Linked DNA regions of Drosophila melanogaster. The protein of the gene in region 2 purifies or fractionates together with the protein of the main gene of each other region. This does not show direct contact. Each region holds a gene or a part of one and is shown on either strand. Other genes may lie near its edges.

Region 1 (7,627 bases), on a different chromosome or scaffold from region 2:
ATGCTAGTTTTTATTCCCAATTCAATACGACACTCGAACCACTGTACTTTTGTGCGATTAAAAACTTTGAGCTGGTCATGGTAAAGAAAAGATTCCGATAACACAGACAGCAGACAGGGCACATAATAATAATCAACAAAATAAAACGCACAAGGCACGCGTAAAAGCAAAACAATTTCTTCTAAAACTGAAAGACGACTAAGGCAAATATTAGCCATGATTTCCCCATTACGAAAACAATAACAAAGTAGATGCCGATAAGTGGTGAATTGCGGGGGGGGGGGGGGAGTGTGTGCGTTGCGTTTACGTTTGAGGAACAGGAGCCCCAAGAACAAGTCGCAGAAGCAGACTATCCATAGAAGAACAACGCAGCGCTGAATCATGCTCGAAAAATACGGAAAATATAATTTGGTTTCTTTGAAGACCGATTGGATTAATACTCTTAATAAATTACGATGCAGGCTAGTTTTATCAGTGACTATCAATACATAACTTTTCAGACTTTATCTATTCGTAAGTGCTTAGCAACCGTAACAAAAAGTTGGCACACGATAACAATGGCGTTTATGTTGCAGTTCCAAAAAGGTTTTAACGAAATTTTATAAATCACCATTAGGACCATTGCATTTCAACATTATGAAAATGATCTTTAGATCTGATTATTCAAATCCTGTTTTACTCTTTTAACATGAAATTCTATAATAGTTTGGGATTATAATAATATCCATTGTACAAAATATGGAATCCAATGAAAACAGAAACAAAATCCCTTTTTAAAATCTGGTTACATTGTAGATCGGCTTGTTTAACATCTAAGAATTTATACATATCTGGAAAACTTGTGAACAGAATTATTGTTATAGCGCCTCCCGCGGAAAGCACACGGAAAGACGTATAGCGGCTTGTTTAACATCTAAGAATTTATACATATCTGGAAAACTTGTGAACAGAATTATTGTTATAGCGCCTCCCGCGGAAAGCACACGGAAAGACGTATAGCGGGGGGTGGTGGGGCGGTCGAAAATGGAAAACATATAAAATTAACATACACACAGAGGAGCAAGAACAACAACAAGAACGATGCCGGCAGACGATGAGCGAATGCGACAGAACGAATGGCGAAGAAAACGAAACGAAGACGAAGGCGAAAGGCGGCCGCAAACATTTGAGGTTACGTTTTCAGCGAAAAGAATGCGAGTGGGTCGGTCTTTTATTTTATTATTTTTTTTTTTGTTTTTGGGTTGTTTACGAGAATTATATCTCCATTTCTCCCTTTCGGTCCTTTCGTGCCTCCCAAGAAGCCCCCCAAAAAAGGAGAGACAAGTGCAGCATGCGAAAAGGAAGAGAGAGAACGCGAATGCTGTGCCCCTGGAAGCTCGCACACACCCACACTTCTAGGGGAGGGGGGTATATATAAAAACAAACATAAAGATAAACCATAAAAGAGATGGCGGACAAAACAAAGGAGGTGCGGCCAATAAGTAATTAGGAATTAAAACCATTTGAATTGTTTAATATTTTAGTTGGTAGTTAGGCGTTCTTATTGGGAAAAGCACATATATACAATTGCAAGGCGTCCCGAGAGAGAGAAAGAGCGAGAGAGCACACACACACACGTAAGAGGGAGCTGAATGGTTTGGCGGGGGGACGCGGGGAGAAGGAAGAAGCAGAGCAGCCAAATGGCCACCGCTCAAAAGGAAGAACACGATGGTATAAGGAAATAATGAAACACACACATTCGCACACATACGCACAATCGGAAAAATTTGTTCACCAACCAAACAAAAAGAAAGGAATCATATAAATTATTCAGGCACACACTTAATTGATTTTTACCTTTTTCGGGCAAAATACGAATTAATTTCGCAAACTATTTATACATGTTTGCATATGTACAAAAAGCGGTCTGGAAATGCACACATACACTCATGCCGCCGAAATGGAAAAGGAAACCCGATGATGACAATGTAAAACGAAACAGGAGTACTTTACGGTTTTTAGCTGTTTTTTTTTGTTCATTTCCTTTTTTGAAACACTTACACATGCACTTAAAAAAGCCTTCTCGTTTGCATTTCCATTGATTTGATGGTGTGTGTGCTTTCGTTAAATACGAAATTTAGATTATTTAAATTACAATTATTTACACAGGATGATGAAGAAGAAATCGGCCAGGAATTTCTTCAACGTCGCCGCCGTCCGTCGCAGAACGATAATAAAAGCGAAATGCAAAGACACACTGGCCAAATACAACTACAACAAAGAGCTAGAGAGAGAGGAGAGAACAAGAACCCCCCAAAATGAGAGCAGTGTTGGCAAACGTGCGAAATCAACAGAGAGAACGAGTGAGCATGCCCACAGAGTGCGAGAGAGAGCAAGAGCGGGGGTGCGAGCGCAAAAGACCGACAATTTATTTTACTTTTATTAACATGCGCGCAAAATATTTATATAAATTGATTACACATTTTCTTGTTCTTTTATCATCACCCCCTTTTTTATATTCACCCTGGCAAATGAATTACGCTGCCCCAGCCAAATTGTTTATATATTATTTATCAATCGATTTTAGGGGCATGCCAAATTTGATCAGACGCCAGTCGCACACAAACACACACTTGAGCACACACATTCACAGACCAACACTCGCGCATACATACACACGCACCAGGGTGTTTGTTTTGTTTTTGTTTGCGGCTTTTTTTTTTATCAATTTGTGATCTTTTTTCGCAGCCGCAAATTTGATTGTGATTTACCGCCGATTGGAAATGTAAACAATGCTGTCGAACTATCAGCATAAGGCTGGCAGTTTTAAAATACTTTTCATATTTTATAGCTGTTGGGTACTCACACCTTAGCTTATTTGAAAAATTTACATATTACAAGCACGCCGTTCTAGGTCTGCTTCTTCTTACGCGCGAACATTTAGTGTGACCGCAGCTCGACCGTTCAAATATACCATTGCGAAGCGCACTGAGAAACACTCTCCAATAGTTCTAAGATACCAAAAATTTAGCATACTACTATATGTAAGTTATAATTTCATTTACTATCCCATTAGAGAAATTAATTGATTTTTATGTTCTATAATGCATTTAACTAGTTGCCCTAGTTTTAATGTTGTTAAAATAGCATTACAACAATTACCGTTTATAACTTCACTTTCTTCAGAGTGACCATATAATGTAAAGTACAGTGAACACTGTATATAAAGAATCAATACAACCATGGATTTACATATTTTTCCATCTGGTTTATATCAATAGATAATATATGTTAAATGATATATATAAAAACTAAATTACACAAAATTTTTTTAGGTATAGTAGGTTTATTTAAACTTGTATACGATTGAAATTTCTGCAATCAAATCAAATTTGTTGTTACAATAAAGTTCAGTTCTACTTCGGAACTTGAAATCTTCCCCAAATATGTTATTTATGTGTTATTTATTTGGTAATTTCAATCCAAGTTGAAATCGTTTTCCGAGCTATGTGTCGTCATTACAGTGCAGTGCAGTTGTAAACGGTTTGTCCGATTTCTCAGCAATAAATCGGAATATATATGTAGACAAAGTGTGTTGTTTTAGGAGGGGAAGGTTCTCTAAAGTCCAAGTAGGTCCTATCCATTTTTGTGTTTTCTTCTCTTACTTGCAGATTTTTTTTCGTTTTTTTTTTTTTGCTTTTACAACATTCTTTTTTTTTTGTGTTGATTTTTGGGGAGGGGTGTGTGGAAATGTTTATAAATTGTATGTTTTAGGCAGCTACCGATTCGGAATCGTTGTAGTTATCCGAAACATAACCGTCGTTGGCATCATTTTCGCCATCGGAGTTCCATTTGAGGCCATCTCCTTTGGTTGGTGTCCCATCCACGGCACGGTCCTCGTCGTTCGACTCCTTCTTGGAGTTGTGTTGGCCCTGATCGGCGGAATCAGCATCATCTGCATCGTCATCAATATTTTTCGCTGGGCGACTACGGGGCTTTGTTGTTTCCTCTTTGGACACCTTGCCAGCGGCAAGAGAGGGACGTCCACGTTTCTTCGGCGCCACTACCGTCTTCTCAGGCGAGCTGTGTTCCTCCTCCCCGGAGTTCTCATCGTCCTGATCGTCGTCATTGTCCTCGTGCTTCTCGACGGGTGCAGCATTGGCCTTTGGACGACCGCGCGGACGACCGGTGGGTACGTAGCCAGTACTGCCACCGCTACCCGACTTGTTCTGTGGTGGACGACCGCGTTTCTTGGGCACTTGTGGCTCCCCATCGCCATTGGACTCGACAGCCCGCTTCTTGGGTCTTCCCAGGCCGCGTCCCGTGCGCGATATGTTCAGGTTGACGGATCCAGCCGACGGTCGGCCCACTGGGCGACGTTCTTCGATGCTGCTGTTGCCGTCGTCGTCCTCATCCTGATCGTCTGTTTTGAAAGAAACAAAGCAATGTTAGTTAATAGGTATAATAATGAAATGAATCCAGGAATATATTTAAAGTAATATTTGTGAAGGTAAATCAATGGTCTATCGACCATTTACATATTTTTGATTTTGATTGATTGCATGGTTGCGGAATGTTGAAATCATGACTCTACCTGTGATCTTCGAAAAAAAATCACCAGGTAGCGTAAAGATAAAAGTGCAAGTTTGGTGGAAGCAAACAGTGCTTAAATTTCCATTAATTGAATTGAGACCATGAAATGTTGGGGATTTACGTACTAACTGCACTACCATAGGCTCACCTTCATTCTCGCTATCGCTGGGCTGGTGCTTCTTGGGCCTGCCGGCCTTGCGCTTCTTGGCGGAACCGGGCGTCTTCACCGAATCCCCGGATCCTGATCCGGCGCCACCACTGCTCTTGGGTCGTCCCCTGCCCTTCGTCGGCGAGGGTGATGAGTTGTTTGCAAGCTCAGCGCCGGAGCCATCGCCATCGCCGTCCTCCTCCCCCTCGTCTTCGGGATCTTCGTCATTTTGGATTTTTGACGCCTTCGGTGGGCGACCCCGCTGTCCACCACCGCCACTGGAGCCCTTGTTCTTGGCGGGACGACCGCGCTTTTTGATGCCTGGCGAGATTGCTGCAACCGCCGCTGTTGAAGATTTACCACCGACGGATGCCTTTGACGGTCGGCCGCGCTTCTTTACCGCAACTTCCTCCATTTCTCTGTACGGGATTCAATTAGCAAGCGAATAAAAAAAATCCTTGTTTCTTCGCGTCCCCTCACACACACACGCGCACAAATGCTCTCTCTCACGAACACACGCTCACTCTTTTCGCTTGGCTCCGCTCTTCTTCTTCACCTTTTTGTTTGCCGAAAATCAAGCTGGAAAAATATACAGAAAAACAATTTTGCATTAGGGCTTGAATGCGCATAAATGCTGCAAAAAATATTCTCAAAAAATTCTTAAAAATTCTAGTTTTTCCAGATCCGAAAGGGAATTACTTGCGTTACTTACTTTGCCTTCTCAATTTGTAATTGTAAAATACGCGCACGCTAGTACAGTTCAAAGTAGTGATGTAAAAAAAAATATGTCGGTGCATCGAGCAGCGATAATTTTTGCGATATTTTTTTCGATTTGATATCGATTAAGCGCTGCATCGATGCGTTCAAAATTGAGGCCGTTTAATTTAAGTTTGCGTAAAACAATTCCCTTTCATTTGGTCATATTGCATTTTAACTATGTATTAACATAAAATGAAACGTAGCTTTTGTGAAAAACTCTTTTTACTTTTGGAAATTGTAAGGTGTAAAAATTGTCTACTTACAGTTTAGGAATATCAAAAGAAACAAATTTATAAAAAACTTGAACTAAAGCAATAACCAAAAATTATTTTTTGAACTTCCTTCTTGCGTGAACAACCAAGTTAAGCTATCCATATGTCCAAAAGTTAAACAAGTTTGAAGTGACTACATGAGACGGCTGGCCTACTATTTTAAAATATGGTATGTTGTGTTCAAATTTTTTTTTTTGCTTGAAGCGCCAAGCTCCAAGTTTTTAAAACAAGAGAGTACAGTTTAGAAGCAACCGTTTATTAAATAGTTACACATATTGCAGTTTATTAGGCTAATCACAGTTGAATAATTAAATACTATTTAGTGGGCGCTCACTTCCACAGCTTGATGACACCGTTTCGCGATGCAGATGCTATGTAGATCTGGCCCTTGTCCTTGCACATCAGCAGATCCGTGATGGCATCGTGGTGACTGGCCGTTGGCATATCCGGCCCCGAGCGGGGATTCTCCTCCGTGGACGATCGCAGCTGCTGCGAGTCGCCCGTGCTGGCCATGGAAATGATTTGCTCCTCGATCACTTGGCTGCCATCGATTAACCGGGCACTGAAGGGTGGAATGAATTGATAATTTTATTATATTATCATTATAATAACAGATCAATAATTACCCATAGTTGAAAGCCACATCTGCCAGGTTGTCATTGGCAGCGGGTACTTTAAGCGATGAGTTCTTTGGGTTGGTGATGTCCCAGTACCGGATCCGCTGATCCGAACTGCCGGTGAGAATAAAGGGTGAACCATCGACCACGCCACTGAGAATGCCGCACGTGGTGGCCGGATCGCTGGGACTAGCGCTCGATAAAGCCGCCACCGGACTTGCCCACAAAACCGTCTGGCGCTGTCCCGTTTCTATATTCCACACGGATACCTCATTGTTTGACTGCGAGGCTGAGATCAGGTATGAAGGCTCTGTGGGATGGCAGGCCACCTTGCGTATCCACGAATCCGCCGGATGCTTGATTTCCGCAATGGGCAGACGGAAGCGTAGATCCCAGCAGATGTGCTTACCGCCGCTGGTACCGGTGGCCAGCCAAGATCCCGTTGGATCCGCACAGATCGTTGTGATCACCCCATGACGGAGTTCATTCTGTAGCCTCCAGGCGCTGTGCTGCATCCTCGTGTCCCAGGCCACAATGCCGCCATATAGCGTGGCGTACACGATGACACTTTGCGTGGCCTGATCGTAGGCGTGCATGTCCACAACAGGACCGTCTTTATGATCACTACGAATGAAATGATTATGTTGTAATAGGGTAATTAAGTAAGTGAAGTCATCTTACTTTTGATTTAGGGCCTGTTGAAGCGTCATTTTGGCGGAATTCCGATCGATTCGCATCATCAGCATGCTGCCATCCTTGCCGCCCACCGCCAGCGATTGTCCACTATCACAGGCCGCCAGTGCATAGATGGGTGTATTGGCCGAATAAACCTGCCTCGATTTGTTTACACCCTGATTGCCATTCAGTTTGCTGCAATCCCACAATCGCACTGTGCCGTCTATGCTGCCGCTGGCGAAGAGTGATCCGTGGGGCCGCAATGAAGCCAGCTTGATCACGGATTCCGAATGCTCGTGCAGGTGAGCCACCAAAGTGCCAGTCATCCGCCAGCCTGGCGGATAGGGTGTCACCAGCTTGTCGTAGCTGCAACGCTGCGAGATGGCCAACACATTGTAGCGACTCTTAATCTTGGCCGTCAGCGATTCGAGATCCTTGCGGCACTCGGAGGAGCGTTCCAGCCAACAGTTTCGTTCCGGCATTGTGTATTCACCCAGCGAAGTGGCCGCACTCACTGTGGCAGTTGGCACTCCAAGGACTACGGCTCCAGAAGCCGGACTTCCGGCCAGTCCGCCAGCTCCCAG
Region 2 (10,457 bases):
ATTCCCAATTCGCCGATTCCCGATCCCCGATCCACCGAGAACTGTTCTGGTGCCGTAATCAAGCGAACTGGACGGATTACGGTGCCAATCGCAGAACGGTAGCTAACAACCATAATCAAGACCATATTTATTGTTTGTCCAACATGTTTATAAGCCCGGCGATACGTAGGCCACCACCCCACGGAATGCGGGAGAGGGTGCCATTTACGATCCCATAAAGTGCATGGGGCAATAACTCTTATAACATAACAAGTAGGTTTAGTGCATTGATCAATAAATTGGTCTTTCGGTTCTCATGGGATCTTGGTCTTGTATGCATATGTATATTGTTATTTAATCGGTCCTTTATCCGAGTTTAAGTTTTGGCAGTAAAATGAAATCGTTTTGCTTTAATGTATGTAATTGGTTTTTATTAAATCTCTGACATGTACTTTGCAGTTCGTAGTGTTGATTTGCTTTGTTGTGCAATTTGGATACATTTGCCGTCTCCGCAGCGTACTGTCTTTGTTGTTTGTTACAATTTATGAACTCATTACTTGCTATAAATTCAAAGATCGTTTACTCTCTATACACGCACACACGCACGAAAAAAATATGTGTTAGGACTAAGTGCCTATATTATATATGTATTCATAGAAAAAAAAGGCCAATAAGTTTTGTCTAAAAAATTTGAACACTTATTACGCTTGAATTGATTATATGGTATATAGTACAGATTTAGTTGCATATTTCCTATTATTTATTTCTCTTTTGAAATAATCTATTTTTCAGATTTACTTCATTTTTATATTATATTTACACATTTTATCTTTGGGATTGGACTTAGGGCTAAAAAAAAAAAATAAAAAAAATGAATCTACTTCTAAATTTTATGCGACTTAAATGCGCTTGACAAGAGACACTAGTATTATGCAAATTGATTTTTATTTAGAAGGAAATGTAGCTTTCTTTTGTCATGGGCATTGGTCTGATATCCAGGAATGGATAAATTTATGTCATTTAGGTATATATATGATTATATATATGAACTATGTACAGAAACGACTCAAGGATAAGTCCGGGAGACTGAGCGCTAGTAGGGGTTTGTATGTGTTTCAATTATTATTGTATATTCTTTTACTTGGCTTCACTGGGAATCTGGAGGCGTGGTCTTCTGGCTCATCGCTCCACGGGCCTGACTATCCACCTATCCGCCCCCAGTCCCGTGAATGCCAGTTCCTAGCAATATTAGGGCCACCAGGCGGCCCTCTGGGCGTGGGCGTGTGGATGGCCGTGTCCGTGGGCGTGGGCATGAGCATGGGCGTGGGCGTGAAGGCCGGCAGCCGCTGCAGCGGCATGTTGATAGGCGGCCGCTCCATTTAGGGCAACCAAGTGATGGGCGGCGGCATTCTGCATGGCGGTGGCGGTGGCTGATGACACGGAGACGCAGTCGGCTCCCAGTTTGGAACTATCGCCCAAGCAGGGCTTTCCGTTCCTCACCAGAACTGGAACGGCTACCCGACGGGGCGATGGCAGGGCACTGGGGTGATGCGGATGGGTGGCATGGCCGTGCAGTAGACCAGGATGACCCTCGTAGCCCTTCTCGTTTTGCGCCCGCTTCGTCTTGTAGCGATGGTTTTGAAACCAGATCTTCACCTGGGTCGGCGTCAGGCGGATCAAACTGGCCAGGTGCTCGCGTTCCGGGGCACTCAAGTAACGTTGTTGTCGAAACCGACGTTCCAGCTCATATGTTTGCGCCTTGGTGAACAGGACTCGTCGCTTCCGTTTCTTATTTGGCAGACCGTCGGATCCATTTGCATCCCCGCCGCCACTGCCGTCGGCGTCGTCCACGTCGTCGATATCCTCCTCGATGCCATCTTCGTTGAGGCTATCGTCGTGACCACTGCCTGCTCCGTTGATCCCCTCGGCCTTCAGGCTGTGGTTATTGTTGTTTGTCGTATTATTATTGTTGTTGTGTAGGGCATGGGCCGTCGGAGCGCCTCCGGCACTTCCATTACCAGAGGATCCATGGAGGGTGTGCAGGGCGTCGCCCACGGATAGTGCATCGCTATCGGCCGACCGGCTGTAGCTCTTGTAATCGCCGGAAAGGGCAGGCGATGTCTGGCAGTTGGAACCAATGTAGGTGTACGACACTTCCGAGGTAACTGGGGAGGTGCTATCCGGACTGGCGGGCTGCTGGGTACCTGAAATCAAAGAGGAAATCAAGGTTTTGGTTAATGTGCTAATTCTTCGTAGTAGATATATGGCTAAAACCGGGAGAAAACTCCCTTCTTAATATGCTGCTAATTGAGGAATAAATTGCTTGGGATAGCCATTTATTTATTTGCATTTTTCACAATGGTCCTACAGAATGGAAAGGCAATGGCAGGGTGCGAGCCCTGGGTGGGAATTTGTCAGCAATTGAGAAACCTCTTTAGCCGTAAATTAATGTAGCGACACACCCCTCCACATCGTCCAAGTGATCATGCAGAATTCGGGACAAAAGGGGGAAGTCAGTATCGCAACTACGGCAATTGGATTAGGCGCAACATGAAGCTGTGGTCGGAAACGATCCAAATGTCAAATGCCAGATGTATGCACTCCTTATGGTCCGCAGCGTCAAATCAACCCCTGCCCATCCCCTACGAGCTTCACCCTAACAACGCCAATTAGGCGGAGACAAACAGAGATCGCACACAAATACATACAAAAATACATGCCTAGGTGGGTATTCCCTTGTCGTCTACCTGAAACGATCGCTTCGATCTCTCGCTGAATGACTGCTGATCCTGGGCCTGTACTAAAAACCAGCAACCAGGATACTAATGGGACAACGACACAAAAGCCAGACCTCAAACACATCAATGGTAGCCGGGTCTCTTCCGGTTCGCCCCCTTTCGCAAGAGTTCCGAACTTCCAACAGATAGTGATTTAGTGATTTATCGCCGGGTGTGGCTATTTCTGATATTCTGGGGCGGGATCTGCGGTTGCAGAGGTATTAGAAGTGGGCTTATGCCAGTATTCAGGCAACTTCAAACGAGGCATGTAACTATAGAAAATCAAAAAGAAGCCCTTTAGTTCTTCCTAGCTTTCGAACTTTTGGATATAGTGCTGCGAAGGCAGCATTCCAAAGAATCGGAACGCGTCCTATCTGCATTTCTATTCCTATTGCAATGTATTTCATAAAATGTCTTCTAATGTGTGTATTCACCTGCCCGGGGTGATGTCCCCGTGGGACATTGATAAAACAACAAATGCAAGGGTCGTAGGAGCTCCTAATGCTCGCCTATCAGCTCCCACCGAGCTAGCCGCATTTGCCCTGCCACGGAAGCCATGCGCTCACCATGACAACTCAACAAATTAATAACTTAATATAATCAAAATGACTCTTCCTCGACTCCTTCACAGCTGTGGAAACTCCCAAAAAAAGAGCAGAAAAGAGAAAATAAAAAAACGGCAAGTGGGCAGCAGCTATAATTTGTAGCTAAACAATAAAGGAATAATAACAGAAGTGGGAAGGGATGAGGCGGAAGTGCGTGCCATAAATTTCCAGGATGAGAAATGTTTGGGCCGCAACAACAAGAAGCGATCGAGCGGGCAGCGATTGAATGTCCTGGCCGAAGGACACGAAGGACGTCAACTGCCAGAAAAACAACAGGGCTAATCCTCAAGTGTGAAGCGCATACAAACTATTAGTCATGATTAAAGGGGAAGCCCAACCCCTGCTCCTTGATTCCCAGTTATATACCCATTTCGATCCGCAGTTAACTGCCAACGAAAATAAAACACAACAGGGCCAGAATTAAACAAAGCTTGTCACACCCTGGAAGCACGTGAATCCGTCGAGTCCACAGGGTATGCAAATACAGCTGCCTCATCGCTCGACTGCTTCAACTCTCTGGCTCTCGGGAGCAGTGAGTGGTTAGTTACGGAACAGTATCATTAGTCGGCCAGTTAATCGGGGGTTAAATGCAGTCGAAAATTGTAAATTTCTTAAAGGGAGCTTCCTGCGGACTTCATTGATGAGTCTATTTTGAAACCAAGTTAATTCGTTGCTCTTTTGCCTACCCACGATTCAAAAGGATATTTGTTTGGGATCCAAAGACTTGCTTACAACCTGCCATTTAAGTGTTGCTTCTTCAAAAAGCCAACTCTAACTTGGTTATTGATATGGCCAGGAGCTATCTCCTGGAAATGGAGCAAATGAAAATGGATACATGCGTATCCATTTATGAGTTGAAACATTCGCTCACCGTATAGCTCGTTCTCCTTGATCCACGCACTCCTGCCCGAGTGCTGCAGCATGGTTTGGGCCATGTGGTGGTACGAGGACATCTCGTCGCCAAAGCTCCCCGGGAAGTTCTTGGGCAGGTTGGGCAGATATTGGCCGGCGGCCACAGCAGCCGCAGCCGCTGCATTGTGGCTGGCCAGCAGATGGGCGGCGGCTGCATTGGCATGGGCGTGGCTTTGGGCTTCGCCGCTCTGATGGTGCGCCAAAGGGAGTGGGGCCACCGCCTGCTGATGGTGCTGCTGCGGGAGGAGGAGGTGAGGGTGGTGGTGCTGCTGGTGGTGCGGGTGCTGTTGCTGCGGATGGCTAGGAGGGGCGTGATGCTCGGTGGTGCTGTGGTGATCCGCTTCTCCCGCTCCTCCCCCAGTCCCGCTGCCATTGTGGTGCTCGTCCGCGGAAACGCCCGCTGGCGTGGGCGACAGCGCCGAAGGCGAGGTGTGAGATCCCTGGCCGCGATGTCCACTGGTGGACTCACTGGCCGAGTGGTGACTCAAATCGCTGCCATGGTGGGCGGCAGCAGCGGCGGCAGCTGCTGCATTCTTCAGCTCAGAGCCCTCCAAATTCAAGATGTCCGATATATGGAAGCCAGAGCGTTGGGACGACGGCACCTTTGCATCGAATAAGCTGCAAGGAGATCAATATGTTAATTCTAACTGAACTTCAACACTAAAAATTTGAGTTAAATGTTTATTTCTCATTTCAATTGAGCACTCGCCTACAGTTTTAAAGAAAAAAAGGCAAAAAGCATACCAAAGATGAGTTGTAATAGTTTTTCTTGAGATTCTGTGTAGTTTCTTAATTGTCCCGGCAAATTGTCATATAATCGAGTGATTAATGACTCCCCGAGTATAAAGATGGCTCCTTAGAGGACGTGGAACGATTTTTCCCTGTTTCATGCTTATTGCAGCGACATCCTGTGTCAATCGTGTGAATGGCCGGAAGGTTTAACAAAAGGAGGTCCCTGTTGGTCGGGATATGCAAAGGAAACTACCTGCACTACCTGTAGCGCTCTGACTTTCACAGATTTTTGCACTTGCCGTTGTTAAGAAGATAAGGAGGTGGGGGGTGTGCATCCTGCAGGCATGCTTCGGAACCGAAAACGCGCACATTTCCCCCGGAATTAACTTTGAATAAGTGCACCCAAATCGCTGGATTATTGACACCTAGTCCCGGTCAGACCCCGAGTTTTGATTTGCCTAATACCATCAACAATTAAACGCAAATCCGCCTCGTAAGGATCGCAGCTACCTGGTCGGGTCAGTGCAGGTCAGCACAGGTCAGCAGGGACTCTTTACGGGTCGAAACAGGTCGTGCCACATGTTGGCGCAAGTTTGCTTGCTTCCGGTTTTCCCATTTCGAGTTTTCCCGAAGACCCCGACTCGCGAATTTCCCACGCTATGGACAGGCTACACGGGCATTCCCCGTCCTCCTGAGCGGAAATCCCATTGCCAGACAGTGTGACGCCAGTATCTCGAAGGCATCTGAGTCCCATGTCTGTCGTACACATGTCATTCCCGATTGGGGTTTCCCTGGCTCTCACCTACGGGAATTTCTAAGCCAGGGTCGAACAACAAGCCAGAATTTCCCAACCGCCATTCGCCAGGACCTTGAGTACTTGCCAGATCAAAGAGGCGGGGAATTATACCCTGTGTCCTGTACTTGCGCGCTGTGCCCGCTTGGTTAATTTAAAGAGCTACCAGGATTAGCCGGACAAGTCCATCAGCTATATGGGATCTAAACACTAATATGGAGGCAGAGGCTCGCAGGGTGTGATTTTAAGTCGGAGCTTAGGCGAAGGCAATTGCAAAGTATGGCTGGTCTTGCGTATTCTGCAGATTCTGCTTTCAACGCCCAATCTTCCAAATTATTAGATTAGGAGAATTAATTAATGGTCTTGCGTATTCTGCAGATTCTGCTTTCAACGCCCAATCTTCCAAATTATTAGATTAGGAGAATTAATAGAAAGACATAGAAAATTAATCGGGAACCCAAAACCTTGAAAACCATATCTGTTTTTTACAAAGTGGTCAGCCATGAAAGGCAAACGTATTGTCGGTGGTCAGTAATTTTGTTTCAATCTGAGGCATGTCCTTATTATCCATATCTTGGCCAGATCCATGCCATCAAAGTGTTACCAATGCTTAAGCGTTTATAAATAGCCCACAAAACAGAGGTCATAATTAGAAGAACTAGAATGGACTTGTGTCAACGTATCACCAAAATATGCTTTTCGTAACCAAGACATATGAATCATAGGTTTGTGTTCACCACTCCAGAGGTATCAATGTTTTAATTATTCCATTGGAATCCTTGTGCTTACCCAGGCAAAGCGTTTCGCAGGGCCGCCGGATAAAAGGCGGCTGGTAGGAGGGCGTGGTTCCACGGCGGCAGCAGGATGGGCGACCAGGGCAGAAACGGGGCCGCTGCTGCGGCGGCCACAGCCGCCGACGATGGAAGCATAAGACTACTCATGCTGTGGAGCCCCGGAAATCCGCTGAAGGCGGCTGCACCCGTCGGAATGCGGAGCTGTTCGGGCGCCAATCCGGAACTGGAACTTGTGTTCGTGGGCACGGTGGTGCTGGCGGTGCTGAAGACTGCGGCGAATCTCTCGTGATCTCTGTCTCGCTCGTGCCGTTCCTGCCGCTCCTTGCGATCCTCCCGGTCCTCTCGATCCTCACGCTCCCTCTTCCGCTCCAGCGAGGGCGTTGAGGTGCGCAGCGGGCGCTTCGGCGTGGCTGGGGAGGACGGACTCACCGTGATAGCGCTTTGGGGCGATGCGGGCAAGCTGCCAGCGCTGCCCAGACCGCTGCTGTTGTCCCGCTCGCGATCTCGATCCCGCTTTGAGGGGGTCCTCTCCAAGGACGCCGACGTGGTCATATCGCTTTGCGATATCGGGGAACCACTGTTTGATTTACTACGCTGCGACGCGGGTGGCGGCGTGGGCGGACTTTTGCGTTTCTCCGCCACTTTGGAGCTTTTACGGTGTTCGGAGCACGGAAAAAAAATATGTTTATGTGTAGTTACTGGGTAGCACTGCGATGAATTAAGCGGGTATCCTGGTAGGGCAACTTAAATTCCAGACATAGTTCGATTTAGGCTTAAGTTTAAGTTTATCACCGGGAAAGTTCGATAGTTCAAGGGTCGCGAGTCGTTTCTCGATTTCTCAGTTGCACGGGTCCGCGGAGCAGCGCACTCTACACATTCCAAACTGAAGTGTCATCAACAACTAACGAGGCATCAAGAACTCAACACGAGTCCAAGTCGCTTCAGAACAGCCAATAACCAAAACCCAACAACCAACGGCAGAAAAGTACCAGGTCGTATGCTCGGGGTGTCTTTGGGTATCACTATGTATGTGGTGCATATCTGTATCTGCATCCCTCTGCCATTGGGTACATAACGCAGATACTCGGATAGTCGCACACACACACACACATACACAAACACACACACGCACACAGCCAGACTGGAGAGACTCTCGGCTTTGTTGGGCGCGCTAAGTGGCTTCTTATGTCCTTTTCAACAAGGATACGGCAACAATGTGAGTGGCCTATTCAACCACCGAGAGAACCAACCACCATTCGTCGCCAGAGCGAGACGTACGATGTGAACCGAGTCCTTATGCCGCACGTCATCCCGCTCTAACTCTTTCCTGTTGCTTTCTCTGCCGCTCTCAAGAGTGCCACTTGAGTGAGAGTGTGTGTGTGCTGCAGCCTCTGTGTATGTTTGCTTGTGTGTGCGCGAGAGTGAGTGTGGATGCGAGGCCATTGTAGCGCCTCACGAACCTCCTCAGGCACGTCGGATTGACGTTCCCAGATAGGGATTCTGGGATTGGGCCGTTCTCTTCCAGCAGTGCTCTGCACTTGATGTTGTCAGCATTCCCCGCGTCATTTAATTGTATTTATCATTATCAGCTCTCTGCAACTCTGGACTTCCGGAGCGGGAACATCAGCCCCGACTTGTGGCGCCTATGCGGTGGGTCCAAGGAGAGGACAGGACAGGGCAAGACATGCGATTGTGACCGGCATTTAGCACGATAATATCAGATGGTGATATCAGCCATTATCCTATTGAGGAACGAGGGCGATAAGAAAAATTTTCTGGAATTACGCTCTCGCCTTTTCTATATGTAGTTGGCTATTTAAGAATCAGATCAATTCATCATTTAAAATCCCAGTCGGGTTGTAATACTTTGAGATTTTGAGTACCAACCATGATTAGATCTGGGGAGGATTGATCACATATTTGTGATTTTATATTAGTCAGCAACGAAATCTTATTTTGAACCACGAACTATTATTTTAATACTTAAAAGGCGCACTGCGAAAACCCTTTTAAAGGCATTCTCACATTACCATACCGGTGAAAGAACGTTATTTTTGCGAAGGCATTATTTTCTTCTGCCGTGTTAGTGGTATGCTATTATACTTGGACATTTAGTTTACTTCACGGTACGTTCTTTGGGAATTGCAATAAATTTCTTGCGTGCAACGGAACTGTTATAGACCACTTTGGCACTGACATAGGGGCCTTATGTACAAGGAGTGTCGCTGTTCGTGCAATTTGAATTTCGATTTCATACTCGTAAGCCAACTCGTGATTAGTGCAGATCCTTCAAACGCCAATACATGGCGCCGTTCCTTGAGAGGTGGCTTCGGGACACACCCCGGACACTCACAGATAGGGAGAGTGCGAGCGAGGAGGTCGAAAGTAAAGTATGGGAATATACATAATCAGCACGAGCAGTAAACGACAGGACAGACTGAACTGGGGGTATCCGCCCGAGGCAATTGAAAACATGGCAAGAGTCCGTTGGGGCTGGCCCCATTTACATATGGGCTGGGGGCTATATACATATATCAGAATATGCATATACATATATATATATATATATATATATATATATATATATATAAATATATGTTGTGTATATGAAGGAAGCTCCATGATCCCTATCCACGAGCATCCGCCCTCTAAAAGTGGGCACCCCACTGTCGCTCATGACTTCGCACCATTATTCTCCCCATGGGGGAATGGAGGTGGTAAGTGGAGGGGGTAGAATTTTATCTTGTAATAACCTCTGCCGACGACGACGTCGCCGTCAAGTGGGCGCGTCATGGCCGCCTGGCCAATGGGAAGAGCGTGCGAGCAGGAGAGTTATACCGTGCGCACCGTGCGCTGACGCGCATGTTTGGGAAATTTTGGTTACGCCAAAGGACTTTTCGGGGAAATTTCTCCCATGTGCGCACGCCCATCTTCCCGGGCGTTCGTTGTTGGCCATTGTTATTGGGCTTAATAATGATGTTGCATTTAATATCAAAGTAAAACCTTTGTGTGCGTCGCCGTTGTTGTTATGGCTTAGCTTCCGCAGGAAGTTTTAGTATCTCATGGATTTATCTGTGTTTGTGTGGAGCGCTGGCATTCGAATTACACACGAATTCAATTCGATTCCCGCAAAAACTCGTTTGTTTTTTATTGCCCTCTGCTCCTTTATTTGTGTATTTATTTATTTTTGTATGCATGCTTCTGTATTTTCCGCACTTCAAACTACTTTGTTTGTGCTTATTTCTAAGTACAAACAACTTCAATTGTAGCTCTCGTCCTTGTCGTCCTCCTGCTCGGCCTTTAGGGATTTGGGCACTGCCTAGTTTATTTTTATTTTTTTGTGAATACATTTTCAATATATTTGCGTTGCAATGGGTGGAGGTCCACCGACAGCAGAGGGCTATTTGCGGCTGACATACATAAACAGCTATAGAGTTTATGAGAAAAGACAGCAAGATGTTTTCTTCAACTTAAAAGTGTCTACTTGACACTGACTCTCTTATATTTGTCGAAAACTTTTCATCGTCGAATGGTTTTAATTAGCTTGCACTTTGTGTTGCTAATTAGTCGCTGTTTCAATAGATTCTATATCAGTTATGTAAGTAGAAATTCAAAATTAAATGCTGGTTCATAAAAGTCCATCTGCTGGGATCTTTGGAGTCCGCATTAGGATCCTTCCTACACAGTTAGGGCCAGCTGTCCTTTGGCAGTTTGATTTGAAGTGTGACAGTGCTGGCCCAATCGCATTCGCATCCGACAGATACACAATGCACCAAACCACTCGCATTCGAATGCAATAAAGTATGTTGGGTGTCACAAATCGACGCTGTTAATCGCAGGCAAACCGCGCAAAAGACCCGGCCCA
Region 3 (7,159 bases), on a different chromosome or scaffold from region 2:
AATGATAACCTCTTAGAACTGAAATATATTCTGCCTTTTATTAGCAATGCTATTCGCAGGCTTTTTCTAACCATCAATAGATATTTAATATGGATACACCTAGTTCATGTAAACCTCAAAGTCAAAGTCAAATGGTTTAGCCCATTTAAAGAGCTCGTTCAGTTACGACTTTGAATATTTTTGCGGTTAATTACTTAACGTGATAATGCTGATCTTAACACTGAGATGCTAGCATATTAGATTACCAAATCTTGTTAAAACCACACATCAAACTTGAACTCAATTGAAAATAATAAATGATCAATAACAATTGAATCGTGACGTCTTAAAAGTTATTATTTAGAAATAATTTCTTGTTGTTTTTACTTGAATAATATTTATGTTTTATATTGCGTAGTTTGAACTATTTCCTTAGCTTTGCAATATTTTCTATTTATACAATACAATGTACAGAATTAGTGAATGGCGTTCTGTCTGGAATTTAATAAATGGGAAATTAAATAGTCTGAATAATTTCATCAGATCTTTAGTTTCGTAATAATTATTGATTAAACGTACTCACTCCATGTAAAATTAAAATCATTCCCATGGTTCAAATAGTTCAAAAGCGTGGCATAATTTCCGAATCCATTCCAATTTCAAGTTCAAAGTTGTAGTGAGCGATAATATTGAAGTCATTATCTCTGTTCCCATTAGAATTTAGAACAAACGTGGCTTGACACAAATCGTGATTTTTGGCAAACTTAAAACGCATTTAAGTATTAAAAGTAAATAACTCCAGGCTATTAACCCAAAATTTATTTTGATTGCCTTAATGACTGGCGATCAAACGGTTCGAGTAGACGTAATTGATTCGCCCGATGCACGTTTGACTTGTGCCAATAAATCAATTGTAATGCTGATAGGCGCGTTAAATGTCTCCCTTTTAATAATTGCTGGCCCATTAAATTTATAAGGTAGCAAGTAATTAGCTCACTGAGCAATCCGATTAACAGAGAAATATATAATTTATGCTCGTCTTTACGAGCATATTCGGAAATTGACTCATATGAGTACGAGTGACCACAAAACATTATTGCAAAATCTCGCAATCTCAGTGCAATGCCTAGCCCTCCCATGAACATATGTAGATGCAAACCAGTTCGGTTGAACATACATATATGTATATATATATATATAATTATATATTATATAGAAACCGATCTATAAGAGCTTCGCTTCTCTGGACACGAAGTCTTATCACCATGCTGTCGGCTCCATCGATCGACTCACGTGTTGTCATTTATAAAACGATTACAATCCAAGGCATGAATGACACTCCAGTACCGGTGGCTGCACACGAAAGACACTCAAGACCCCAAGTAAAACTGGAACTGAAGCCGACCAAGCAGAACTCAACTTGAATCGATTGCCGGCTGTCTGAAGTGATCGGGCGGCATTACAAATCGTTGTATCAAATATTAGTAAAAGTGAAAGTAATTGCATACTTACAACATGTCATCCGCGTTGACGAACCTCTTGCAATCGCTGAGAATTGTGCCCTTGGGACATGGAAAGTCCAGTAATCAGGTGGTCGTTGTACCAAGCAAAAAGGAACGTTTAAAACTGGAAGATCTGCCGGAGATCGCATTGGAGGAGGTGGCCCAGCACGACAGCTTCGACGATTGCTGGGTGGTAATCTACGATAGGGTCTACGATGTGACACACTTTCTAAGGGATCATCCCGGCGGCGACGACGTCATTATGGATCACGCAGGGCGAGATGCCACCATCGCCTTCCATGGCACAGGACACTCGGGGGATGCCATCGAAATGATGAAGGATTTCTTGATCGGTCAACTGCCCACCAAGCAGCACATTTTTCGCACTGGCAAAAACAAGGTTTTGTCCCTGGGCATACCGGAATAATATAATGCCAGCCGATTTTGCACCGATCGCCTTCGCCGCCGTCCTCCATGTCGTATATGTCTATATATATATATATTTTTAGAGTATTCATCGACTAGTTTTCTAGTTGTAATCCGCTTATTTCGAATTCCGCTAAACGGCTTTTGCTTAATCATCAAAAACCATACAGACAACTATGTATGTATATTTATATGTTAAATATTTTTGCCAAGACTTGAAACGGATCTAAGATTATATTATTTTAAATTTGATTGTGCTCTTTGATGTTTGTTATCTGATGACTATAAATGGTTGGTTGGGTTGGGCGTGTTTGAGTATTTGAAACTCTTATTTTGTTTGTTTGTTTGATGATTCTGAAAAATGACAGGCTTCTATCAGTGCTGATGGGTAAACCTAAATGACCAAACCCTTTTCCAACGACATACTTTCTACTTCAATAATACTTTATTCGGTAATATTCATCTTACACATATTGGTTGACATTGGGTAAATGCATAAATAAGAAATGCTTATGACAAAAATAAATATCACTGAACAGATTTTCACTTGGCTGCTCTGATAAGAGGCTCCTTATCAACCTCCTTTCGTCTGACTAGTACACAAGTATTTGGCATTTGCTTTCCAATTGACTTAAAAGTATTGCTCATTAATGGATTGCTTATCAGTTGAACCATAGTTTATGGTGGCCCCCACTCCTATTTAACTGCTGCTAGTCGGTGGTTCGTTGTGAGGTCCTTGAAGAAGAGCCTGCAACTTGGCAGCCGCCGGAAATGCACCCAAATCCAGTGGCGCTGCTCCCGTGGTGCTTTGTATATAGGCCAAAAGTCTAAAAGTAAAAGCATATATGTTAATAATTCCTATTGAGCGTGGTAATGAACTACGTTACCTTCTCAACTCCTCGAGAGCATTTTGCTGCATCAGAATGTAGTTCTTAGCCAGCAGCAAGGTGGCTATTTTCGACAGCTTTCGCACAGAAGGCGAATGGGCATAGGGAATCACACTTCTCAGCTCATCAAGGGCATCATTCAAATCGTGCATCCTTCGTCGTTCCCGGGCATTTATGTTCAGCCTTACCGTCTTTCCCTGGCGGTTTTTCTGCTTGCCACTGTTGGAGCCACTTCCGCTGGCGCCACCACTGGACACGGCCACCGTGGTGGTGCCACCACTGATGGCAATGGCTGCGATGGCGGCGGCCGTGGGACTCAATGGCTTCTCCGGAGCACTGGGCCCTGGTTTGTTCTCATCCGTCGGTGGCTGCTGGGACATGCCCATTCCCTGGGCATAGAAACCACCCAGACCAACCGATCCAAGTGGCGTCCGACGGCCGGGGACGCTTTGTGGTGGGCTGGCGGTGGGTGCTGGATGCTGGCCACCAAGCATATTGGCTGTAGGAGGTATTGGCATGTGTCCGTGGTTGGGGAGACCGGGAAAACCAAAAGCAAGATTCGAGGGATCCATTTTTTTGTATTTTATGGGACTTTTCCAGCTGTGAAAAAAAGGTTGAAGGGATGTGTAATCTTTTAGGGTAGTCCTTGCAAATCAAAGTTATTATGATGCAGGGTTGCATAAGAAAACTAAAAAATAGGGGTGAATACTCGTATGCTCAGCTGTTCGGTAGCGCCATCTGTCGGAATTTTATGTATTTAATAGGTTAGCAAAGCTTTTTATAGGTGGAGCATCTGTTTTGTGTTTTAACCCGAAATGGTTTAACAAATTGCAAACGTCTGTCAGGTATTCCTTAAATTTAATTAAAGCAAAATAATCGTTAAGCCTTTCGGAAATTCAAAGCCAAAATATTACGCGGTAGTCAGATTAACAAGATGAATATAAGCTTATCAAAGCTTTTCATAGGTGGCGCTGTGTAGTAGTCCAATTTAAGGGATGGTTTAATATGATGTTTCATGGCGAATACAATTTTAGCGGCATTAAATTTATTTAGGAGCGCAGCACTTCAGAAAACAATAAACTTTAAAATTATACGTCAATATATATAAATAATAAATTTGGCAATTATTAACCCAACGAAATGGATTATAAAATATGCAAAATCGACGCAGCACTTTATTTAACTTGCAGTTAATTCATGACACACTTAAAAGATTATTAATTTAAATTAACCACAAATCACAAGTTCGCCGGTGTACGAAGGGGACGAAGAGCACAGAGCACGGAGAAAGAAATTGCGGATTTAAACATTTTTAAAAATCGCACGCACCACAAACCAGGCAAAAAATTCAGATCCTGAATCGCAATCGGAATCGATGCGCGAGTGTGAGGTGCCCGGCAACAACAGAGACGACCGCGATTTTGTGGTGGGTTATAGTAGTCGCATAACGATTTTCCGATTTTCTCCGCTCACTCTCTCTCTCTCTCTCCCTGCCTCCGCCTATGCTTTCCAATCGCCCGTCTCTTTCGCTCTGTCAGCGAGGATGATTATAAACTTTTTGCCACCGACGCCACCGTCGCCGTTTGGTGTTAATCTCTTTCTGCAGAAGGAATATTATGAGCCACTATATAAAATGTGGGTCGGGTGTCGACGCCGGTGGTTGACGTTTAGTGGTTGGGCTTCGCATAATGCAGCATCCACACCAATACATACAGCACGATTATTACCAATACTCACAAAGGTGAATGAGTCACAGTTTCAGCACTAAGAAAAAAAAATGATTACTAATGATCGAAACCTTTTTGAAACATAACATATAGCATCAGATATACCCTACACAAAATAATAATAATTTCTAACATAAATCTAATCTGCTATTGAAAAGTTAACAATTACATATTTGCATTTAAAAATGGTATAAAATCATACTAATTAATAATCTATTCATTATTAATCATTATTTTGTATATTAAATAAAAGTCTGCATTTTTCAATTGGTTAAGTAATAATTAACTATAACCACACTTGATTGTAACGAAAACCAAAAACTTTTGTTATCTCTCAAAGTTGCATTTAATTGTTGAATATTATTTAGTGCAGTCAAATTTTTTACAAGTGTATGAAGTTTTTAATGCCTTTGCCCTGCCTGTCCGAAAATTCACTTTTCTTGTTGTTCAGGATTTTTATCGCTTCGCTCCTTTTCAACCCTGATGGCCCATCACCACCCCTCGCACCCTGAATCCGCCGGGTCCGCTCCTTTGTCTGTGATTTCAATTTCCATTGAAACTGAATCTAATCACATGCTCACTGCCTGCTGATCCTGGGCCGCCTGGCCAGTCCTGGATTCCTGTCCTAGGGGGTTGAACGAGGAACAAGGACCACGAATAGCCGTCCATAGCCCGTGCATCCTAGTATTTCGCCTATATGCCCATATACAGCATAGCTCAGAGGATGCCGCATCTGCATGGCATTCTCTACGTGAGCGAGTTTGTGCGTTTGCGAGTTGCCTGGAAATTATGGTATCGCATTGTTCAAAGCTGGAACAATGCCATAAATGGCACATGCCAAATATTTTCGTTGGCAAAGGCATAAGCTAGAAAAAGGTATGGAAAATGATAGGAAGTGCTAGGCAGATCTAGGCCACATATTTATTTATTTGATTGTATTTATTAGTTTTAAGCAATCTTTGGGTGTGGGTATATTTTTATTAATTTAAATATAAAAGGACACATTTTTCAATTAAGAGTATTATAAGAGTGTTTTTCAATTGAAATATTTTTTGAAATATTTAGAAATCCGCTGTTTAAATGACAACCTAACAAAATTATCATGAAAATCAAACATTTTTTTAAAAAGTCGTCCGATGAAGATTCTTTGTTAGTGCTGCTCTGATAAATATTTAAAATCAATCAATAGAGAATTTTTTTAATAATAAAATTTAATCGAAAAAATCTGTGAACATTCTTTTTTTTATCGACTTGTAAATTGTTAAGTCAAAATTTGAAATAATTTTTCGAAGATGCCTCTTTTAAAGTTATAAACTTTGTTATTTTACAAGTTCCATAGCTAAAGCAGATGTTTATTATCCAAAGCCAGCATCTCCATCCTCCTGTCAACTGCAATGCCCACTAATGACTTTCCACACTTCGGGCCTCGCAGGACATTTATGTATAAGTGGCGGAGTGTGTGTGCGTGGAGCTGCCTGCAGTCGTTTAGTCCTTAGAATAAGTCAAACTACGAGCACGGGCGACAGACCTAATGACTTCGCGCATGATAAATTTAATAATTTGCGCTGGCAACTTTTCCATTTGGCCTTTGTTTGCGCTTCCCTCCTTTCGTAGGGAAAATTATTGTGTCAGATGTTCGGGGCAGCAGTCACCGTATGCCATTATTTTCAATGAAATCCGGAATCTGGACAGCCCCTCTAGGCAATGCACCATTTGCTGCGTGATTGTGAGAGTTTTTTTTTTTTTTGGGTTTCGGGCTCGGGATCGGAATCGGGTATATTTGCAATCGCAGTGCACTCTCCCTTGTTGTAATTGTTCTGGGACTAATTCAGTTTATATATGCAGCATTTACATTGCAATTTACGGCGCTTCAGCTACGGCCAACACAATCATTTCGACTTTTCAACCCCGGGCCAGCCGAAATTTAAATTTTCGGTTTTTTCATTTTATGGCCACATTTTTATCAATCCATATACATATATATGGGCATTTGTCGCTGTTCCGTATCCGGGTTCCCGGATCCCAGGTCCGGCAAAGGCAATGAGGAATTTCATTATAATTTGCATAATTTATGCGCGACCGTGATTTGCATAATTAAGATTTGTACATTTGTGCATGCCAGTCATCATTAGCTTAGGTTCCGCACTGCGGACCAATTGTAAATGGCCAGCCCAGGGATTTTTTGGCTCGTACCTCGTGATCCGTCAAAGGGTTGTCATGGGTTAATGGATGACCCTCGAACTAAGCCACCGCGGGTATGGACATAAGTGGCTCTATTCATTTTGTGACGCTGTTAACTAATTTTATTAAATTATTCAATGTACTTTTTAACTATTAATGCAGTTTTTTAATATATCACAGTAAATATCATGGAAAATGCTTTTGAACTTTAGTTTTAAGGTATCTTTCATTCGAGCTTTAGACAACTTACAACCCTGACTTTTTCGTCAGGCAAAATTACAAATGCAAAAGCCTGAAAACCCCAATTTAATGTTTGGGTATGCGCAAATTAGACAAAACCATAGAATCCTTGGCTCTGTGGGGCCTTGGCTCGAACTAACGGCACTCCATGGGGCAATGTGAATCAATCATTAGCATTTTATTGTTGAAAAACCAATTGGGCACATTTATGAAGAGG

The links.
Region 1: the proteins of vnd (region 2) and D1 purify together in Drosophila melanogaster (affinity purification with western blotting, with the first as the bait; one study listed by BioGRID). This does not show direct contact.
Region 3: the proteins of vnd (region 2) and Oli purify together in Drosophila melanogaster (affinity purification with western blotting, with the first as the bait; one study listed by BioGRID). This does not show direct contact.

The regions. Positions count from the first base shown.
Region 1 is NT_033777.3:9,234,770-9,242,396, forward strand, and holds D1 (D1 chromosomal protein), read right to left. Parts: upstream 5,886-7,627; 5' UTR 5,743-5,885; intron 5,499-5,742; exon of another isoform or gene 5,433-5,498; intron 5,300-5,432; 5' UTR 5,136-5,299; coding exon 4,721-5,135; intron 4,403-4,720; coding exon 3,750-4,402; 3' UTR 3,314-3,749; downstream 1-3,313. Other genes in the region: Vps15 (vacuolar protein sorting 15), read right to left, coding at 6,082-6,313, 6,378-6,992, 7,050-7,627. UniProt on the Drosophila melanogaster protein: This satellite DNA-associated protein is a double-stranded DNA binding protein specific for tracts of pure at DNA. It may play a role in organizing the higher-order structure of euchromatin as well as heterochromatin.
Region 2 is NC_004354.4:588,082-598,538, reverse strand, and holds vnd (ventral nervous system defective), read right to left. Parts: upstream 7,498-10,457; 5' UTR 7,145-7,497; coding exon 6,588-7,144; intron 4,892-6,587; coding exon 4,233-4,891; intron 2,184-4,232; coding exon 1,228-2,183; 3' UTR 720-1,227; downstream 1-719. UniProt on the Drosophila melanogaster protein: Probable transcriptional regulator involved in the regulation of the proneural AS-C genes and the neurogenic genes of the enhancer of split complex. Could specifically activate proneural genes in the ventral-most neuroectoderm.
Region 3 is NT_033779.5:17,586,447-17,593,605, reverse strand, and holds Oli (olig family), read right to left. Parts: upstream 4,423-7,159; 5' UTR 4,027-4,422; exon of another isoform or gene 3,395-4,026; 5' UTR 3,367-3,394; coding exon 2,795-3,366; intron 2,735-2,794; coding exon 2,608-2,734; 3' UTR 2,339-2,607; downstream 1-2,338. Other genes in the region: Sytalpha (synaptotagmin alpha), read right to left, coding at 1,273-1,282; CG6870 (uncharacterized protein), read left to right, coding at 1,495-1,908.